Tribolium castaneum: one gene and its partners. The protein of the gene in region 3 interacts with the protein of the main gene of each other region in a pairwise test. Links are inferred from orthologs where the notes say so. Each region holds a gene or a part of one and is shown on either strand. Other genes may lie near its edges.

What was found. The genes of interacting proteins can lie anywhere in the genome.
Region 1: the proteins of Klc (region 3) and zinc finger MYND domain-containing protein 11 interact in a two-hybrid assay, tested with the Drosophila melanogaster proteins (2 studies listed by BioGRID). The link is inferred for Tribolium castaneum from reciprocal best matches to the Drosophila melanogaster genes Klc and CG8569.
Region 2: the proteins of Klc (region 3) and Khc interact in binary tests that used the Drosophila melanogaster proteins (3 or more experiments, as listed by UniProt). The link is inferred for Tribolium castaneum from reciprocal best matches to the Drosophila melanogaster genes Klc and Khc.

The regions. Positions count from the first base shown.
Region 1 is NC_087398.1:12,803,850-12,809,493, reverse strand, and holds the end of zinc finger MYND domain-containing protein 11, read right to left. Parts: intron 4,318-5,644; 5' UTR 4,316-4,317; coding exon 4,128-4,315; intron 4,084-4,127; coding exon 4,002-4,083; intron 3,957-4,001; coding exon 3,534-3,956; intron 3,487-3,533; coding exon 3,273-3,486; intron 3,231-3,272; coding exon 3,034-3,230; intron 2,988-3,033; coding exon 2,585-2,987; intron 2,539-2,584; coding exon 2,394-2,538; intron 2,346-2,393; coding exon 2,228-2,345; intron 2,179-2,227; coding exon 2,011-2,178; intron 1,963-2,010; coding exon 1,840-1,962; 3' UTR 1,419-1,839; downstream 1-1,418. Other genes in the region: eukaryotic translation initiation factor 4 gamma 3, read right to left, coding at 1-65; protein LZIC, read left to right, coding at 735-835, 888-1,023, 1,073-1,228, 1,277-1,408.
Region 2 is NC_087395.1:25,844,638-25,850,740, forward strand, and holds part of Khc (kinesin heavy chain), read left to right. Parts: intron 1-2,504; coding exon 2,505-4,439; intron 4,440-4,537; coding exon 4,538-4,695; intron 4,696-4,745; coding exon 4,746-4,847; intron 4,848-6,103. UniProt on the Drosophila melanogaster protein: Kinesin is a microtubule-associated force-producing protein that may play a role in organelle transport. Milt and Miro form an essential protein complex that links Khc to mitochondria for light chain-independent, anterograde transport of mitochondria.
Region 3 is NC_087402.1:3,659,477-3,666,457, reverse strand, and holds the start of Klc (kinesin light chain), read right to left. Parts: upstream 4,795-6,981; 5' UTR 4,769-4,794; coding exon of another isoform or gene 4,752-4,768; intron 4,334-4,751; 5' UTR 4,261-4,333; coding exon 4,232-4,260; intron 4,071-4,231; coding exon 3,854-4,070; intron 2,210-3,853; coding exon 1,897-2,209; intron 1,837-1,896; coding exon 1,343-1,836; intron 1,249-1,342; coding exon 1,044-1,248; intron 923-1,043; coding exon 696-922; intron 633-695; coding exon 621-632; intron 20-620; coding exon 1-19. UniProt on the Drosophila melanogaster protein: Kinesin is a microtubule-associated force-producing protein that may play a role in organelle transport. The light chain may function in coupling of cargo to the heavy chain or in the modulation of its ATPase activity.

The DNA of each region.
Region 1 (5,644 bases), on a different chromosome or scaffold from region 3:
AGTGTGGTGGAGTAGGCCTGGTTTTGGGGCCCCCTCCCGGCTGTCTGCTTCTGGTTGCCGCTCATGTCAGCCCTGGGGCGCCGCGTCCCTCACAGAGGCCGCCGCGTATCCGTTCTCAGCGACTGCATATGTTCAGAACTGACAGCACAACACACATTTCCGGCCAGTTCACAAGCTTCGCAACATCGTCGCACCCAAAGACCGAAATTCGATGTTGATGATGCTGGATTTTTCGAAATCGTCACTTAGATAACACTACCACTATTACTAATCAAAGGTTAAGATATGTTTCAAGATGGCGGACTTTTAACCCAAAAACATGATTGTTTTCTTTAGTTTCGTGACGCACTCCGGGCCGTGCTTGCACTATTCGGACAACAGCCTCCACACTCCCGAACTTAATGCGAACTCGAATTTAACCAATGTCACTTCTTCAAATTTAAATTAAACTTACAACTTTATTAAAACTGACACGCGGCTTTCACGTTGCTAGAAAAGCACACCTAGCGCACCCAACGGAAAATTACACAACTAAAACAATTTTTCCTTAGCAAAGACGCACGCCCGGCGTCCCTCTCTCACTTAACCCCCACCAACAACAAAAACACCAAACACGCCGTACGTCGAAAGTTAACCCAACCGCTCACTTGAAAAAATAACGGGCATTGTCCAGAAATTGATCTAACCTACAAAAAAATGCAAATTTCCAGTAATTGAGTTGCAAATCAACCAAAATGACCTCCTATGGAAAAGTCGAAACCGCGAAACTGAAACAAAATTTGGAAAATCAACTGGACAGACTAGTCGAACAACTGGGAGATTTAGAAAATTGCAAGTTAGTCGTCACCGCGTTTCAATGCTCCCGAATGATGAAACTGCATTTTTAGAGCGGATTTAGACCCGGAGGAATATGAGGAGACTAAACAGGACACGATGGATCAGTTAAAGGAATTAAACGATAGCTTATCGAAACTAGTCAAAGGCGATATCTCACTTGTTAGTGCCCTCGGAGCCGTACAACTTGTAAAAACAGTTCTTTATTTTTTCAAAAAATCAAATACGATTTTTCAAGGCCACACAAGCTGCCATATCAGAAGCGTTTAAAACGCCAGAGGTTATCAGACTTTTTGGCAAAAGAGAACCAAAGCAGTTGAGAGAACGATTATCCAGTATTGAGCAAGAGTGTAAACTTAATAAATTGAGTGATGAAGCTACTAACAGACAAAAGGTCATTTACCTAGCAATTTCAGACGTGATTACTTATTCATTTTTCTAGGCTGAAATATTAACTGCATTGAGACAACTGGGGGAACAGTTATCAATGGAAGAGCTGCAGTTTTTGGAGAAACACAATAATATTGCCAATGCTTTCCAAAACGTTGAGTTTGTGGAAGTGACTGATGAATGAAAAACGCACCAAGAAATAAGGGCTTTATTTGTACATGCATATAATTTAACAAAGCTGCAGATAAAAGAACAGGTCGTTTGCCATTTATTGTATCTTCCGTTGCAAATACATAAAATTTATAAGCAATACTATTTTAAACCATAAAATAAGAACAAACAATGAAGTAGTGGCATAACTTTCAATTGTGATACAACGTTTAAAAATGATTTGGAAGTTTCAACAACACTATGTGATAAACTCTTACAACTCAAGTTATTGCCTACAATTAAAAAGTTAACTAGAATTGTACTTTCGTAACTTGGTCCTAAAAAGTACCAAAACAATGAAAATTACGCCAATGTTCCCATTACTCTACATAATGATATTAGAGGATAAACAAACTATAAAAATAGATAATACACAAAATAACATTTTTTAATTTTTGTATGAAACTAGCGCTTACGCCTGCAAACTTTTTTATGTTCTGCTTGCCAGTGCTGTTGTTGACAACTTTGGGAACAATACGCCGTGTTCCAGCAACAATGATAAATGGCTTCCTGTTCGCAATTATAGCACTGGAAATGAATGAATTACAACCGCTCATTTTGGCCAATCTTTCTTACCCATTGCTTTTTCTTAATCTCCGATATCTGCGCATTGTGGGACTCAAACAACCTTTTCAAATGATCATTGTGATTATTTGTAATTTGATCAATCTCACTTTGCATACAGTCCATTGCACACTTTATAAGCTCTTTTTTATCACTCACACATTCAAGTCTTCTTCTCATCTACAAACCAACCGTGAGCAAGTTACTGTAACGTCGCTTATTAGCAAACCTTTTCAACTGAATCACTATAAGGGTGATCAAGTTGCTGCATCCCATTTTCCTGGCTTCTGTCCTGGAATCTGTAATTTTCAGTGGAACTTGAAACTTGCTCATATGAACCATTATAGCTAACAATAAAAAAATTAAACTCGGAAACACCTGACACACATATTTACTTTGTATTAGAAACCGATGAATAATCGTAATAGGGATACTCATCGTCTTCGCCGTCTGATATGTGTATAACGCTATCGGAAGTATTGTGAACTTCCTCGTTTTTCTCCACGGAACTAGTTGAATTTTTTTTCGACACGGGACTTCCTAATTAATCAAATAAGACGCAAGTAACACAAGACAACGAAATTACCTTCACAAAAACTGCTTTTACGTTTATGCGTTAGGCTTAAATTTTGCTGACCGAATGGATTATCCTCAAACTTGTAAACATCATTCATTTCAAATGAATTTCTCTTTTTCACTTCCAGTGAACTATTAAGCGACTTCTTCAACGTCGAAATTCGCTGCTTATTTAAACTCCTGACCCTGTTTTTCGACGAACTGATCAACTTCTGGAGCTCGTCAGGGTTCTGCATCAAGCGCTGATGGAACCTTAACTCCTCCACCGCCTTGTTAAACGCCGAAGACGTCTTTATTTGCAACTTCGATTGCGGCGTTTCAATCGGTTTAATTAACGATTTGATCAGAAGCGACCTTTCGTATTTACCCCCAAAAAACCTAACATCAAAATGCGTGCTCGTCTCTTGAATCACCTAAAACGCGGAATTACTAAACACATATAAGCGACCATCTACCCACTTTAGCAGGCCAATAGGGGTAGCCCTTTTGTTTGGCCCAAACTAACTTATGAGGCACTCTGCACGGCAAACAGAACCACTTAGCGTTAATTTTCTCATTACTATGGCGGTAACAATCAACGCAAAGTTTCAACTCGGTCAGGTCGTGCATGCAGTCTCTAATCATAAGTTCCGCAGCCCCGTATTCCTGCGACTCAACTGCGAACAAATGGTAAAGAAACAACAATTATTTGGACATACTTCCGTGAAAAATCGCAACGTTGTGTTGGATTGTTAAAACATCGGCGAGAAATTGGTACAGTTTCGTGTACGACTCGTTATTTAGGTTCACCTCAATGACGGACATGTCTCTGTGTTCGAAAAATAGCTGGTTTGCCCGCCAACTCAGCTCCTTGTCTGTTAGCCACTCGGGCCGCTCTTGCTGGGCCATGGTGTGTGTTAAAGTGTGCGGCAACTGCAATCACTCCCTAATTAAATTTTCTATCGAGTTGGAATGTTTACCCAAGACTGAATCCTGTGTATTACAAATTTAAGGAGATAATTCAGTTCAGACTTTTCTAAATTACAGCCATCGTCCAGCTTGGAAACGTTGCACATGCTGCACAACGTTTCGTCATACTCAAGCGCATCACTTTTCATTTGTCCGTTGTTATTAAATTTGTAAGTACTCAACTCACTCGCATTCAAGTCGTCGGAATCCGACGAAATATTAATCGAATTCACTGAATTACTCGTCGACTCATCCTTCACCCCTGATTTACTCAACTGGTCATAAAGAATATTAGTTTTCTTATATTCCTGGAACTTGAGACGGCCGTTTGGGACACAGTCCGCATGGAAAACGCGGAAACACTGTTGGCAGGCGGTCACATCACCGGCGAGGTGGCATTCGAAGCAATACCAGTCTTTCCCGTCCAAGGGCGGCTAATAATTTTAATCAAACAACAATATTAAAAAAAAATCACGTACCACTTCGTGTGTAGGTATCCGAAAGCTGTCCACCAAGTCCCCTTTTGACGTTTTGGTTACTTTCTGTAAGGCCCTGTCGGAGCTAAAATTAGGGTGTGTATTTATTTAATTTGTTTCGCTACTAACACAATCAGTCCGTCTTGATGCGTCTGTTGCACGTATAATTCGGCTTGGGCGTAGGTACAGTTGTCCACGCGTTGCAAATATTTTATTATTCGTTTCGAATCGGCCATTTGGCGCTGCAGAACCGCCGATCGAATTGCATCCCACACATGTTGGACGGTGATCGGATCGGCTGCTCTTCTGATAGGCATACCTGCAATTTACAAACAAAAACGGCGGCCTCAAAATCCATTTTGATAATTTTCGAAATTTGGAAAGTATTTTGATAAGTTCACTTTCCCGACACACTTATTGCTAGCCAGTTTCTCTAGAGTGCGGGCCAAAATGTTAAATTTTTGGCGAAATTTTTCAAAAAATACATAATTAATTGAGCGAGTAATTAAAACGTATTTGCTTCGCTCGCTGACTAATTACTAATTAGATAACAAATTACAAATATTCACGATTCAATCCTGGAATAACTCAGATAGCACAGTTGATATCTATTACAAATTAAAAAACACCGAGGCATCGGAAGTTCGGAAGCCAGTAAAAAATCGTCTTGATACGTTTGAACGGTAGTTTATCAATAACTGTTTTCAAATTAAAACGTAATAAACCACGGATAACATACTTCAAGCCCACATAACACCCATTAGACACCGAATGAGGGTAGAACGCTTCAGTTCGATTTTTCAACTTGCAACAATCGGTCCGTTTTTGGCAAAATGTACGCGACTTATGTCCTAATCGCCGTGATTTTGATCTTGATCGGAGCCGTGAGTTCGGTGTATTTCGTCCGTTTTCTCAAAACAACAAACTTGCAAAATATCACAGTTCCCGCTTTGTCCGAATCGCTCAATACAATTTTTATTGGAATATTTTACTTTTACTGTGCTATCGTGATGTCACAGCACGTCATAAGTCCAACAAACACGGTGTTGGGGGTCGAGGATGATGTAACAATTATCCAAGAAAATGAAGACAAAATCACTGAATATTACCCCGAGACTCCTACGACTGAAGCCACAGATACGACCATGCCTCCATTTGAAAATAGCACAAACCCGAATGAAGACTTTTTACACAATTACCAGTCGTTTATACACAAAATTATGAAACACAATGCGAGTAAAATTGTAAGAAAACGGGAGGCGAATTCGAATGCTACGGTTTTTCCTAATGAAAAGTGTTTCGATGAGATATTTATGGAAAATTCAATGTTTCTCTACTCGTTTCTACACTCCGTCGTGTCACTCCTGATGGGGGCTAGTAAACAACCGGAAAAGCCAACCTCGGCCAAAATTCAACAAAAGCCCACAAAAACCGATGATTTGGAAGAGTCTGGTTCACCTGAACCGGGCACTGAAGACAGTCAAGCTTGTACAAACAAGCTTAAGCTCGTGGTTAAAATTCTCGTGATTTTTCTGCTCCCAGTCATATTTGTCATAACCCTGTATTTCGCAATGGACAAAATCGGTTTCGTGTCACGCTTCTTTGACCCAAACTCGATCGACTCCAACATTTGGAGCATAATTTAC
Region 2 (6,103 bases), on a different chromosome or scaffold from region 3:
CTCGTGCATTATCCCACTTTTTACGATAACAAAGTTTAATCGGCCAATATTTGTTTTTAGTCACTGTTTTGTCTCAACAATTTTGAAACTAAAAACTAATTTACCAAGTTTGTGAACCTGCATGTCAACGTGACATTTGTCAAAATTTGATTTACTTTATTCATGACATAACTTCATCGATGATCATTTTTATCGTCAACACTCTGTATAGCAAAATTATCTAAATACAACATCAAACAATCAAGTGGTTCTTCTTTTTTTGACGTGAAAAAATTCACGTTTTTAATACTGATTATTATACGTTTTTTATTTCTTGTTGCTTTTGTAGGCTTAATAATAAATTGGTTTTAATTTTTTTATCTCGTTTTTTCTGAAATAAGTTAATAAAAAACTGCAAAAAATAAATGAATGCAACACGGAAATAATAGTATTTTTTTATTCGCGTGTACGTGACAGTTTTGCTGTCAGAATAGAATTGACAGTAATTTGATAAAAGAATCAAATAAGTTCTCTATTTCTTTGTTGCATTATCGTAATTTGTTTTTATTACAATAATCAACGCCTAATTGCCCTATAATCAGGCGAGATTAACACGGAAGCAGAGCAAAAACTGCGAATTCTAGAACACTCTCAGACAACAAAGTCGTCATTTTTGCGTATGTTTTGGCTGAGATTATCTCAGATTGTGTGTTTGTTGGGTAAAGGTTAATTAATTTCGTTAAAAAACATCGGATCGATCAAGGATAAGTCGAGAGAAGGAAATAATCCATGAGGGTGCACACGTTCACACTTTTGTTTCTGCTTGGTTTATTATTCGGATGTGCAAGAAAGCTAGAAATGCGTTCGTTCTGTGGGCGAAGAAAGCGCTAATTCGTTCGGGTGATTAATTTTGCATTGTGTTCGACTTTCCATCGTTTTAAGATTAAAAAAATTAGAGGCGTATTGCTGTAGGATTCGGTCGCGTGTTTGGTGGAAGTAGGTAGTGTTATTTTCACTATTCTATTCACAACCTACGACCAAAAGTAACCAATCGATAGTTCTTACAGAGCGTTGAACCTTTTTCTGTGATGTAATTATCTTCAAAGGGGAGGGGAAATTATTATTTCAATATTTAATAAGATAATGAGAACGTATTTTTGTCAAGCTTTTTACCTAAAGTGATCGATTAATTGTTTTGCCGTTGCTTTCGATTAACGCTGGATTGATTGCTTCGTTTTCGCGTTGTTTTTTTTTAATTTTTCAGACTTTGTTTACATTCTCTCTTTTGCGGAGTGTTCCGTTTTCTTCACAATCAATAATCAGGCTCTGCCCTTGACCGAGCGTTCGTTCTATTTAGGTCCTCTCTTCTGTTTTGCAACATTGTACACAAATCCAGGACGCGTTTTATGAATTATTTAAAAGAAATCAAATTTCAAGCTCTGATAAAAGCAATTACACCGTTGTTTTATAAATAGATGTACGGAACGATCGTATCAAAAAATCAATGTGTTGTAACTTTAAAAAATTATTTAATCTCGTTTTGCAAAGTCACGATTCTGATATTTAAGTTACAATTGCTACTGTCTGTTTTTAATCTTGCATATCTCGAAGTCTCGCCTGGTTAAGTTAATTATAAATGAGATGAATCAGGAAATAACTGTCGGTTTTATTTGTTTATTTTCGTAGAAAATTGGTCGTGACGCGTTAGAAAGTGATGTCAGGTATTAAAATAGTTTGCGATGATTTTCTGATAATAGTTTTTATGTCAATTGATAAAAACCAAGATATTTTACGATTTTTTTGCAGTTCTGGACAAATTTTGAATTTTTTCGAAAAAAAAATTTAACTTTTTAGTTTATGATCATAAGTAAAACACACTAAATGGAAAGTATAAGGTGAGTCACTGTTTTCTCTTATTAAATTTTCTAGATTTTTAGTACCTGTCACATTTATTTATAATTTAATATTCAATGCTAATAAAAAATATCCCTGTATTAAATTAAATATCGGTCAAAAGAAAAAATGCTGTGTTTTTTATTTTTAATTTTTTTAACTACTATTTAACTGAAATACAACGAAAAAAAACAGTGAAACCCGGTATTAAACCTCAATTTTTTTATAGCGACTTTCAGGAAGTCCATTTTTTACACGTTTTGTTACACTTCTTGTAAAATTATTTGAATTATTGTTGTATTGTATTTGCCTTTAATATGAAACCTAAATAAAAACTTGGTATTTTTATTTAGTTTTATTTAATTTTTAAACATAGGAAAAGGCACAGCTGCAAAAATTTTTTTGGTCGGGTGTCCGGTTTTTTACTTTCTTCATATTCTATGTGAGATAAAGCGCAGAAAACGAATGATAATTCGGTCAAAAACTGTTCCACATTTCGAACGTCGCTCCGCATAATTGGCTATTACGTAAAACCTTAATTATTGATCCGAGTGTTGTAAACAAACCGGGTCAATTTTTTCCCGATTATGACTCACACTTTGAGGAAGTGTTTCATGTAATTGTTCTTTCAGGGTAAAGTCTACTTATTCGACAAGGTATTCAAACCGAATGCAACTCAAGAAAAAGTGTACAATGAGGCGGCCAAGAGCATCGTGTCCGATGTTTTGGCCGGTTATAACGGCACAATCTTCGCCTATGGACAAACCTCGTCGGGTAAAACCCACACGATGGAAGGCGTAATAGGTGATCCACAAAAACAGGGTATAATACCCCGCATAGTCAACGATATCTTCAATCATATTTACGCAATGGAAGAGAATCTTGAGTTTCACATCAAGGTTTCGTATTTTGAAATCTACATGGACAAAATTAGGGATTTATTGGACGTTTCCAAAGTGAATTTATCGGTCCACGAGGACAAAAACCGAGTTCCTTACGTGAAAGGTGCCACCGAACGGTTCGTCTCAAGTCCTGAGGAGGTTTTCGAATCGATTGAAGAAGGCAAATCCAACCGACACATCGCTGTGACAAACATGAACGAGCACTCGTCTCGATCACACTCAGTATTTTTGATAAACGTCAAGCAAGAGAATCTAGAAAATCAGAAAAAACTTTCGGGGAAATTGTATTTGGTCGATTTGGCTGGTTCGGAAAAAGTCTCCAAAACCGGGGCTGAAGGAACAGTGCTAGACGAAGCCAAAAACATTAACAAGTCACTTTCGGCCCTTGGTAACGTGATCAGTGCTTTAGCCGACGGAAACAAAACACACATACCTTACCGTGACTCTAAACTAACAAGAATCCTGCAAGAATCCTTGGGCGGAAACGCCCGAACAACAATTGTGATTTGTTGTTCTCCAGCGAGTTTCAACGAATCCGAGACGAAATCGACGCTCGATTTCGGCAAACGAGCCAAAACTGTTAAAAACGTCGTCTGTGTCAATGAGGAACTCACGGCCGAAGAATGGAAACGTCGCTACGAAAAAGAAAAGGAAAAAGTGGCGCGTCTTAAAGGCAAAGTTGAGAAACTTGAGAGCGAGTTGCAACGTTGGAGGGCTGGAGAAACGGTCAAAGCCGAGGAACAAGTCAACTTGAACGAACTAACCGAAGCTGTGACTCCTGTCTCTGGAATGGAGGAAAGCACAGTGGAGAAACAGGGACCTGTCCCGGCAACCCCAGCCCTCATGATCGGCTCAACCCTCGATGTGGAAGAACGCAGGAAACTGGAGCTGGAACGCGAGCGACTCTACCAACAACTGGACGAAAAAGACGAAGAGATCAACGAGCAAAGCCAATACGTTGAGAAACTCAAGGAGCAGATGTTGGAACAGGACGAGTTGATTGCAAGCACGCGACGCGACTACGAAGCGCTCCAAGCGGAAATGAACCGAATCCAGCAGGAGAATGAGAGTGCCAAGGAGGAGGTCAAGGAAGTCCTGCAAGCGCTTGAAGAACTGGCCGTTAACTACGACCAAAAGTCGCAAGAAGTGGACGCCAAGAACAAGGAGATGGAAACCCTGTCCGAGGAGCTGATGCAGAAGCAAGCCAGCTTGAATACCACGACCACCGAATTGCAGCAATTGCGGGACATGTCGAGTCATCAAAAGAAGCGAATCGCCGAGATGTTGAGCAATTTGCTGAAGGAGTTGGGCGAGATTGGGTCGACTTTGGGGAGTGACGGGTCCGAGATTAAGATCTCCAATGATGCGGCTAAGCTGGAGGAGGAGTTTACGGTTGCACGTTTGTATATTTCGCGGATGAAGAGTGAAGTTACGAATTTGACGCAGCGATTGCACGAAATTGAAAACAAGGAACAGGATAGTAACAAGAAGGTCACGGAGTATGAGAAGGAGTTGGGGGAGTGTAGGTTGTTGATTTCGCAACACGAGGCCAGGATGAAGAGTCTACAAGAGTCGATGCGCGAAGCTGAGAACAAGAAGCGGATGCTGGAGGAGAGTGTTGATGCCTTGAGGGAGGAGTGTGCGAAGTTGAAGGCCGCTGAACAAGTAAGTTTTTTAATTCGAGAGAGAAATACAATTCAAAACATCTCGAAATTAAAAGAAAAAAAGAGTGTTTACAGGTTGCTAGATTAACGTTTTTGCAGGTTTCGAGCGCCAGCGAGAGCGAGAAGAAGGAAGCGAACGAGCTGCGATTGGCTCTCGAGCAGCAAATGGACCAATTACGTGTCGCTCATCAGAAGCAAGTGGCGGCGTTACGCGACGAAATCGCCGAAAAGCAGCAATTGATCAACGATATCAAAGAGTGTGTTACGTCATGTGTTTTTTGTTTTGTTTTGATTTGTTTTTTCACAGTTCGAACCAGAAGTTGTCGCTCGCCCAGCAACAGTTGCAGTCTGAATACGAGAAAGTCAAGTCGGAAGAAGCCGAAAAGTCGCAGAAATTGCAGGAGCTCATGTCAGTAAAGTGTAAACGCTCATTCCCGTGTTCCCCCAAATCCGCCACAAAACTCTTACCTCATCCTTCAAGTCCCGATTGGGAGAAATTTTTGCCTTATGTCGATCCAGTGCCTAAACATGCAAAAGACGCGTTGAATAGTTTCACAAAATTGGCGAAAAATCAATGCTCGATGTCGATTTTTCACATACATACGTTCCATTTGCATTTGTTTATTTCCCTAACTTTGTTATTGGTCACACATAGGTGTCCACAATATCTAGTCGTTGTCTAAATCTAGTCGCGGGCGATTTTATTATATTGTGATAATTTGGTGCATTTCGATTTGAAACTAATCCATTCCTTTGAAAAGTGATTTTTCCTGTGATTTATTTTGAAAAATATTGCGTAGTATTATTTTTTATTTTTTTAAACATTTTTTGGCATAGTCACATCACGCCACTGTTTGGTTTTGAGTTTTATTTTATAGTTGATACACGTGTGACTAACTAGTCAGTGGTTACGAAACAAAACAGCACAGTATTTTGTATTTTTGCTTTGTGATGAGGCCATTTAACTAAAAGGAGCCGCGGAAAGCCCGATTTAATAAAAACAAAAATGCTGATACAGCCAGTGACTACGTATATCTTGCTATTGCCAAGTTATACTGTCGCAAAATGGCAAATTTTTAATTATTACTTATTTTTCTTTTGTTGAATTTATCTAAAGTCTATAGAAGGTGGATCAAGGTGAGTCTGTTCAAAAACAAATAAAAAAAATATATTTCATATCAAAAACTGATTAGTTTTTGAAATATAGCAAACGATGAAGAAATGTTTTAAATTTAAACTTAAACTGAGAAAAACCACAAAAAAATTCTGGAAACTTGATTGAATATAAAAATAAAATCAAAATTTGGAACATTAGATAAAACAAAATCAGGGCATTATTTAGTGCAAGATTTTATTCAAGTTTTTCGAGTTTTGTAACATTTTTTTTATTATTAAATCGCGGCTTGTTACCGGTTTTGCATATCACTGTATAAAAACGAATCAAAAATTAAAAAAAACGACAATAGCGAGCTCAAACTTTGGATCTAAGTGGTCTTGTAGTATTGTTGTATGATAATAATAATGTAAATAAGAGAGTGTTAGCAATAGTGTATAAAAAATCGTTGCATATTTTAAAGGCAATTATTTTTGAATTTCTCGTAGTTGAAATTGTTGACTATTTCTAAACCTAGACGACCTGTCTGTGTTATGTGTTTGTATTGTTTT
Region 3 (6,981 bases):
TCACGATGTCCAAAGCCTGCTAACACACGAAATCAGTCGGGGCAACCCCCAAAAATCACCATCATCAAAACAATTCCAAGACATTATCGTGGACAACGAAAAATTAACAAAAAGCCAATTCCTTCGCCTAAAAGCCCAGCTTAAAAAGCCGTATTCGATTAAGTACGTCTTATTTCCTTGCCAAGATATTGAAACAATTTTTCGACATTTCTTGCATCCAGTTGTTAAAAAAATACATTTTTAATAACATAGAAAAGCCATTAAACTACAAGAGCGTGTAATTATTAATTAATTACAATAATTTACGTAACAACACCGCAATTTGACGATTTGTCTAACGTAATGATAATTAATAATAAAAAAAAAACAAAATGATGTAATTTTATTTAGGCAAAATTGTCAAAGGTATCTAAAAATATGGAATAATCACAACGAAAACATTTGATATAATAACAATTTCCCGTGTCGTATTTATTTTTAGATTACGGACAAGCGATGTGTACAAAATTCCGTTGAACATAATAAATGTTTAATGCATTTTAATTTGTTGGTAATTTCTGCACTTGCCTTGGAATTTTTTGAAAACGAAAAGCAAGCAGTGGCAAAATCTAAGCACTTACTTGTTGCACATGCTGCAGCATAAACAAAGAAAAACCGGTAAATCCCCTCATGACTCAACCCCCGAATATACGCACCTCTTTCCTGCTTCGCAACGCACAATCCTCCAAAGTTTCCGCAGCTTCGTACTTCCCCTGTCTGCGGTACAGCGCCCCTAGATTTTTCAAAGTGGTCGTCACCGTTGGCGAATCAACTTTGGCCGCCTTATGCCACCCACCATACTCCCCATATGGAGCGTTCTCCCTGTTCTTGGCTTTATTCTCTTCGCGTTCCTCCGCCACTTGCCAAATCGGTTTGTTATCACCTGACAACAAACAAAGGATTCAGGAAAACGCAATAAAACGACTATTCATGCAAGATTATTATATTCAGATAACTGTACAAATACTGGAGGAATGCCCGCTAGAATTAAGATTTGCGCTCACCATCGATTGTTCCGAACTCGCGCTCGTGTGCCCGGTTCAGGATTTGCTTGTATAGGACTTCGGCTTCTTTGTACTTGCCCTGCTTCAAATAGCAAGAAGCCAGATTGTTCATTGTTTTGCTGACGTTGGGGTCGTCGGGGCCCAGCCGCTTCTCGTAAATCTCCAGCGCGCGCTGGTAATACTTCTCCACCTCCTCGTATTTGCCCTATGACCAACATAAAATAAATTGATCAAAGCTTTTTTTTTTGGACAAGTCGTTCAAACATGATTTATCGTGCGTTATGCAAAGTTTCCTTTACCTGATTCTGGCAGAGCAAAGCGAGGTTGTTCAGCTGTTTGGCGACGTCGGGATGGTCGCGCCCTAGCACTTTCTCTCGTATGTCTAAGGCGCGTTTGCACAGAGGCTCGGCCTCCTTGTACTTGCCCCTTTTCCCGTACAAAACAGCCAAATTGTTAAGAGTGGCAGCGACGGCCGGATGGTTCTCCCCCAAAGTTTTCTCGCGAATTGCCAAAGCATCGTTTAACAAATTCGCCGCCTCTTTGTACTTATTTTGATCCCGATAGACCAAAGCTAGGATATTCAGCATCGTGGCGACGTCTGGATGGTCATGTCCGCTTGTTTTTTCCAAATCCTCCAGTGCCTGCTTGCATAACGGCACAGCCACTTCGTACCGTCCTTGAGAGGCGTATTGAATCACCAAGTTATGCAGCGTGCGAAGTCGTGCCGGAATTTCATATCCGGCATTCACTTGTTGTGAAAGTTGCAATTGATTGGGTGGCGTTGGTGACATATCTTTAAAAGAACACAAAAGATTGTCATTTTTTTCCACCCTTTACAATTTCGTAAACCTACTATTTCGATCCTCGTTATCATCGTCTGGGAAAAGATCGACGACCGGATCTGGTTTTTCGCTTCGTGAGTGCTCGCTAGTGTTGTCGTCGTTGACGTCCTGATCGTATTTACTAACGGAGCTCATAAATTCCAAATGACGTTTTTCTTCTTCTAATTGGGCCACGGTCTGTTCGCTTGCTTGGAGTCTTTGTTGGGTGGAGGCCAATTCGTCTCTTAACCATGCGTTTTCTTGGCATAAGCGACGCACTTGAGTTCGCAGTTTTTGTTTTTCGGCCTCGATTAATTGGAGGTGGTTGGCCAAGGCCATTATCACCTGAAGGAGAAATTTACTTGCCTTAAAATGCGACATTTCTACCAATTAATGCGTTTCCCTGGAAGCAAAATCCCTTTCACGGTGTTTAAATTCACAAATTTAATTACTTTCATTGATTTTGAGTAACAATTTAAAAAATCAGTGAGGAGACTTGTCCAAGGACAGTTCGAACACGCGACTTTTTTTCGTTACAAGAGACTATAATTATTGTATTTTTGTGGTCAGTGGTTTCATTTTTAAAATCAGGCATCAGCAGGAGTTAATTATGTCAGAAAGAAAAAATTCAGTTTAATAAGTAAATTAACAAACAAAAGCGAATTATTTTTATGACACTTGCTACAATAAGACGATGAAATTATCTCAATTTTACGATCGGCTTAAATTAATTTGATTACAGGCTGCCAAACGAAGAACTTTTTAGTGTTAATTTAACAATTATTTACCGAAACAGGCCATCATGTTATACAAAAAATATCGAACATACTTGAGGCACCAAGTTTTTTACAGCCCTATAACCAAAGCCATAAAAACTTGTTTTTCCTGGAAACCAAGAACGAAAAACAACGTTTGAATAAAAAACGTGGAAATAGAAAAACAAAAGGATAGGGTGAGGACATAAAAACCGCAATAAACATCATCAATAATCATCCCACGAGATTTAAAGCTCGATGAGCAGAAAGAAAGTCTAATTGATACAGATTTTAATTTGTAAACACCCAATTTTTGTTAAGAAATATGGTAAAAGTATAATGATTTAACAATAATAATTGTTGTTTCGTCACCTTCAAAAGTATCATTCAAAAGATATTTAAGACACTTGGAAGTATTGTGAATATTATTGAAGCAAATTCATGAATAAACTCATCACCAAACTTATTATTCTTATGCATGTAATGACAGTGATGACGTTATTACAAGCAAATGAGATTTTTATGAACAATCAACAATAAAACTGAATATTGTACTTTGGTCTCAATAATTATTTTTTAAATTTTTTAATTAAAATCGTGGGTACACAATCTAATGACAATATAATTTTTGGGTAGGTTGTGAAATAATATCATATGTAATTTACTCAAGACCGGTATAAACTGACTTATAAGAAGATTTTTTTCAGTTTTAATCAGGTATTTTTATCTGTAATTATAGAAGAAAACTTCAAGTTCTAGGTCAAATTTACCATTTAACTTTTAAATTGCATGGTTTGTTACAGTTAAATAATTGTTAGTTTCTACAACTCGTAATCCAAGTACGACTTTCACAATTTTTAATTATTTATTTATTTTTTTTTTCAAATAAAACAAATTAAACCCGGAATTAGGCCGCCATTTCTTTTTTATCTCTCATTCAAAACAAACAAACAATCATTTCATGGTTTATTACAACCCAATCTCTTATCTTAATCCTCCAATTATAATCGATTGGCATCTGAAATCCCGTCGAAAATAATAGAACCGCGACAAAATAAATTAAATCCAATTTTAGAAAGTCATCAATTGGCTTCGACACTCTCCTTCCTTTTCCTTCCCTCCCCACTCGCCTTAGTATGAGTCATCGGTGCTCCCCGATCGATGCAATCGGGTGCCCCTTTCGTCTCTCACACACCGACGATTTTATCTGATTAGAAAGAAAAATAGAACATACTTGCGCTTCTCCCAGTCCCAATTCGATCATTTCTGCACTTTGTTGCACCAGACCGGCGCGTTCATTGGCCACCGGATCGGGGGCTTCGTGGAGGCCATGGAGGATGCCGGCGTGCTCTGAGCGGAGCGCCTCCAACCCCTGAGCCACCGTTCGCACAGCTGAGACGATCTCTTCCTGCGACATCGCCGTCATTTTTCCCAAACTTTCAATTTTCTTACTGGAAATAAACGACAACTTCAAGGAAGTGGCGGCGGAATTATGCCACAATTAGGTTAGAAATTTGTAGAAAAAACGCCGGATTTCAAGTAGCACAAACGAAAGGCAAGCAAGACCGCCACAAGAACACAAAAGCTTGAACTGAAAACAAAACCAACTTACATCCTATACGCGTTGATCGTTTTAGACATGTTTTTTCGAATGCGTCCTCTTAATTCCAATGAGCACCTCGTTCATCACCTCACGATCGTTTAAATTGAGCGTCTATACAAAAACCTTATTTATATTTTTGATTATTGTAAAAGTGCAAGGCGTTATCACAAGACGGAATATGAGACAATGCAAAAATATATTTTTGGTCAACGATCACCCCCGCAATCAATAATAAGGCCCCCTAGAACATCACGCCGCCTTCCCTTTCCACCCCATAGCTCGAAAAAGGGTGTGCCACTTTCGGTAAAAACGCGAAAACTGACGTCGGTGCATCAAACGTACTGCGTCGCGACGCCGCGCCTGCGCCCCATAGCCCGACGAACCCCATCAGAAATTTGCACCCCTTTCGATCGGAAACCAATACACGTGTGACGGCGGGGGCGTACACTCCGAGCCGTGACTCACGCCCGATTTTTACAGGGGCGCTTCCTCGTTACTTTGCCAAGCGTGACGATTGAAAAATACTTACGTGTTGCTATCATCCATGCCACGGGAATGCACTGCTCACCTGCTATGGCAATCAGTAGACCATAGCGTAACCTGCGACATAAATAAATCACAAAAATTGACCAACGGAAGGAAGGACACCGACACTTGAACTGTGCCCCCAAACGATCGGGGGGACGCTTACTCACCTTTATTTGGCAGCCAAGCGTTAAAACACTCAAATTGGGCTATTTTTGACACTGCAATCACTTTCTTCTGACATTAATGGCTGCGCTTTTGATAACTCTCTTCTCATTCCTTTTTCTCTCAGTGTTAGAAGAGTGACAGATGATTGCCAAATCAGGGGCGCCACCTACCGGGTGCCACTAAGCCGGGTTAAAGTAACACAAATCAGGGTTCTGGCTTGCAAAACACACCCCAGTAATTAATTAAACACTTTGCCGAAACGACTGTGGACAAATTTAGAGGGCAAAGCCCGTTTTAGCCGATTTTTTCGTGTCAATTTAGGGATTTAAGTTTTGTCCGGTTGCGGGTGCGCACCTGTGAGTTCGTCGAAAAGTCAGGCGACTATCTGCATATGGCGATTCAGTAAAGTAGCAGCAATTTAGCTGTGTTGTTGGTTTTTCCCCCAATTGTGCCTTCAAACTGGCATTTTAATTAGTTTAGTACTTTGTCTGACGTGTCGTCTAATTGTTTGAGCGTTAATTCGGTCATAGATGGTCCGTGGAAGGTGCTACAAATAAAAGGTGAGATCACGTTACATGCATACTTTTTGCTTATTTTTTCTGCCTAAAAATAAATCAAACTCGGTGTTTTTGCAGCAAACTCCAGCCGGACACTTTCCTTGATCGACCCTTGAACGGACCTTTTTCTTTAGTTTTTGCTTCTGTGGGAGTCATCGTCCAGAAGGGCGCTACCATTTTATATGACTTTAGTAAGCCACAAAGGTAGGTGATAGCGTTATCAGTTCGATTTTTGCAGTAAAAGCATGACGTAACATCCAATTTCCATAAACAATCGAGCACGCTTTTTATTTTTTTTTGTACGAAGGCAGCGCTGGTGTCACGTGACTGCGCGGTCTGTTCAAATAAACCAGTGGAGGCGTGTTTGCGGGGTTTGTAATTTTCCGGGCGAGCAGTGGCGTGCGCTATAAAAATAATCGTGTCGCATTGTGGTGATCGATATGGCCGTGGCATTGCGCCGGTTCGACGACATCGATTCGCGCCGCGACGCTTACGTGGCCTCAGTCTCGGTGCGCGCCCTGAAAAACCTCAACATAACTGCTCTCCAAGCCACGACCGAGGGGCAAACGGCCTCCCCCATGCCCATGCTGTCGCCTTTCCACGATGGTGAGACCCGTAAGTTAAGTAGGCAATGATGGTCTGGCACATGTCAAAAAATTTTCGTCAAATGTAGTTCCGTTCGAAATTTTTCATCGTCTCGATGTACCACCGACCTATTATGGTACTTAATTATCACGAAACGGACGGTTTTGTCGCATTTTCAATGGTCACGCAACCAGTTTATTACCGCAAGTTGTGATTACAAACAGACCATATGGTAACCGGAAAACAGGCAGATTCGATGCGAATTTTGCGTTAAAGGTAAGATGGGGGCCTTTCCGGAGCCGGGGCTCCGGGATAGGGATGCGCCGGCGCGTGACGTCACCACGTCTCTCGATTTATTTCCTTGTTAACTGTTTTTAAAGTGACCCAGTGTCATTTAGAAAAAAATTCATGAATTTGCTGACGGGTTCGCTGCCGCTCTGCCCCATAATGTGAGTTTTATTACACAATTTGTGCCGTTTTATTCACTCGAAAGCACGCTAACGCCGGTTAGATAACAACATTTGCATAAAACGATTAAGTTGCGCACGAAATTAGGTACAAAAATTCAAGCCGATTGTCAAATTTCTCGTACGTATGCTGATTTTACCCTTAATGCAGTTGGAAAACAGAATATTGCAGATTTACTAAGTACGTTTTTTTTGCTTTTATGCACTTACGGGGAACTAAAACTAGAAGGCGAAACGAGACAAAAAATTTAGTGCGGTGGAAAAAATTCTTCAAAACGCTGAGAATAAAAAAGTGTAAAGAAACAGTTGTACGGGATTAAGGCCGTGTCGCTATCTTTAACGGTGTCGGATCTAAAAATGTTTTTTTAGGGCCATTTTATTCTGAGTTACAACTTTATAGCTAAAATTAAATAGAAATATTTTAAAAGCAAAAAGATAACGCTGTTAATATTTACCA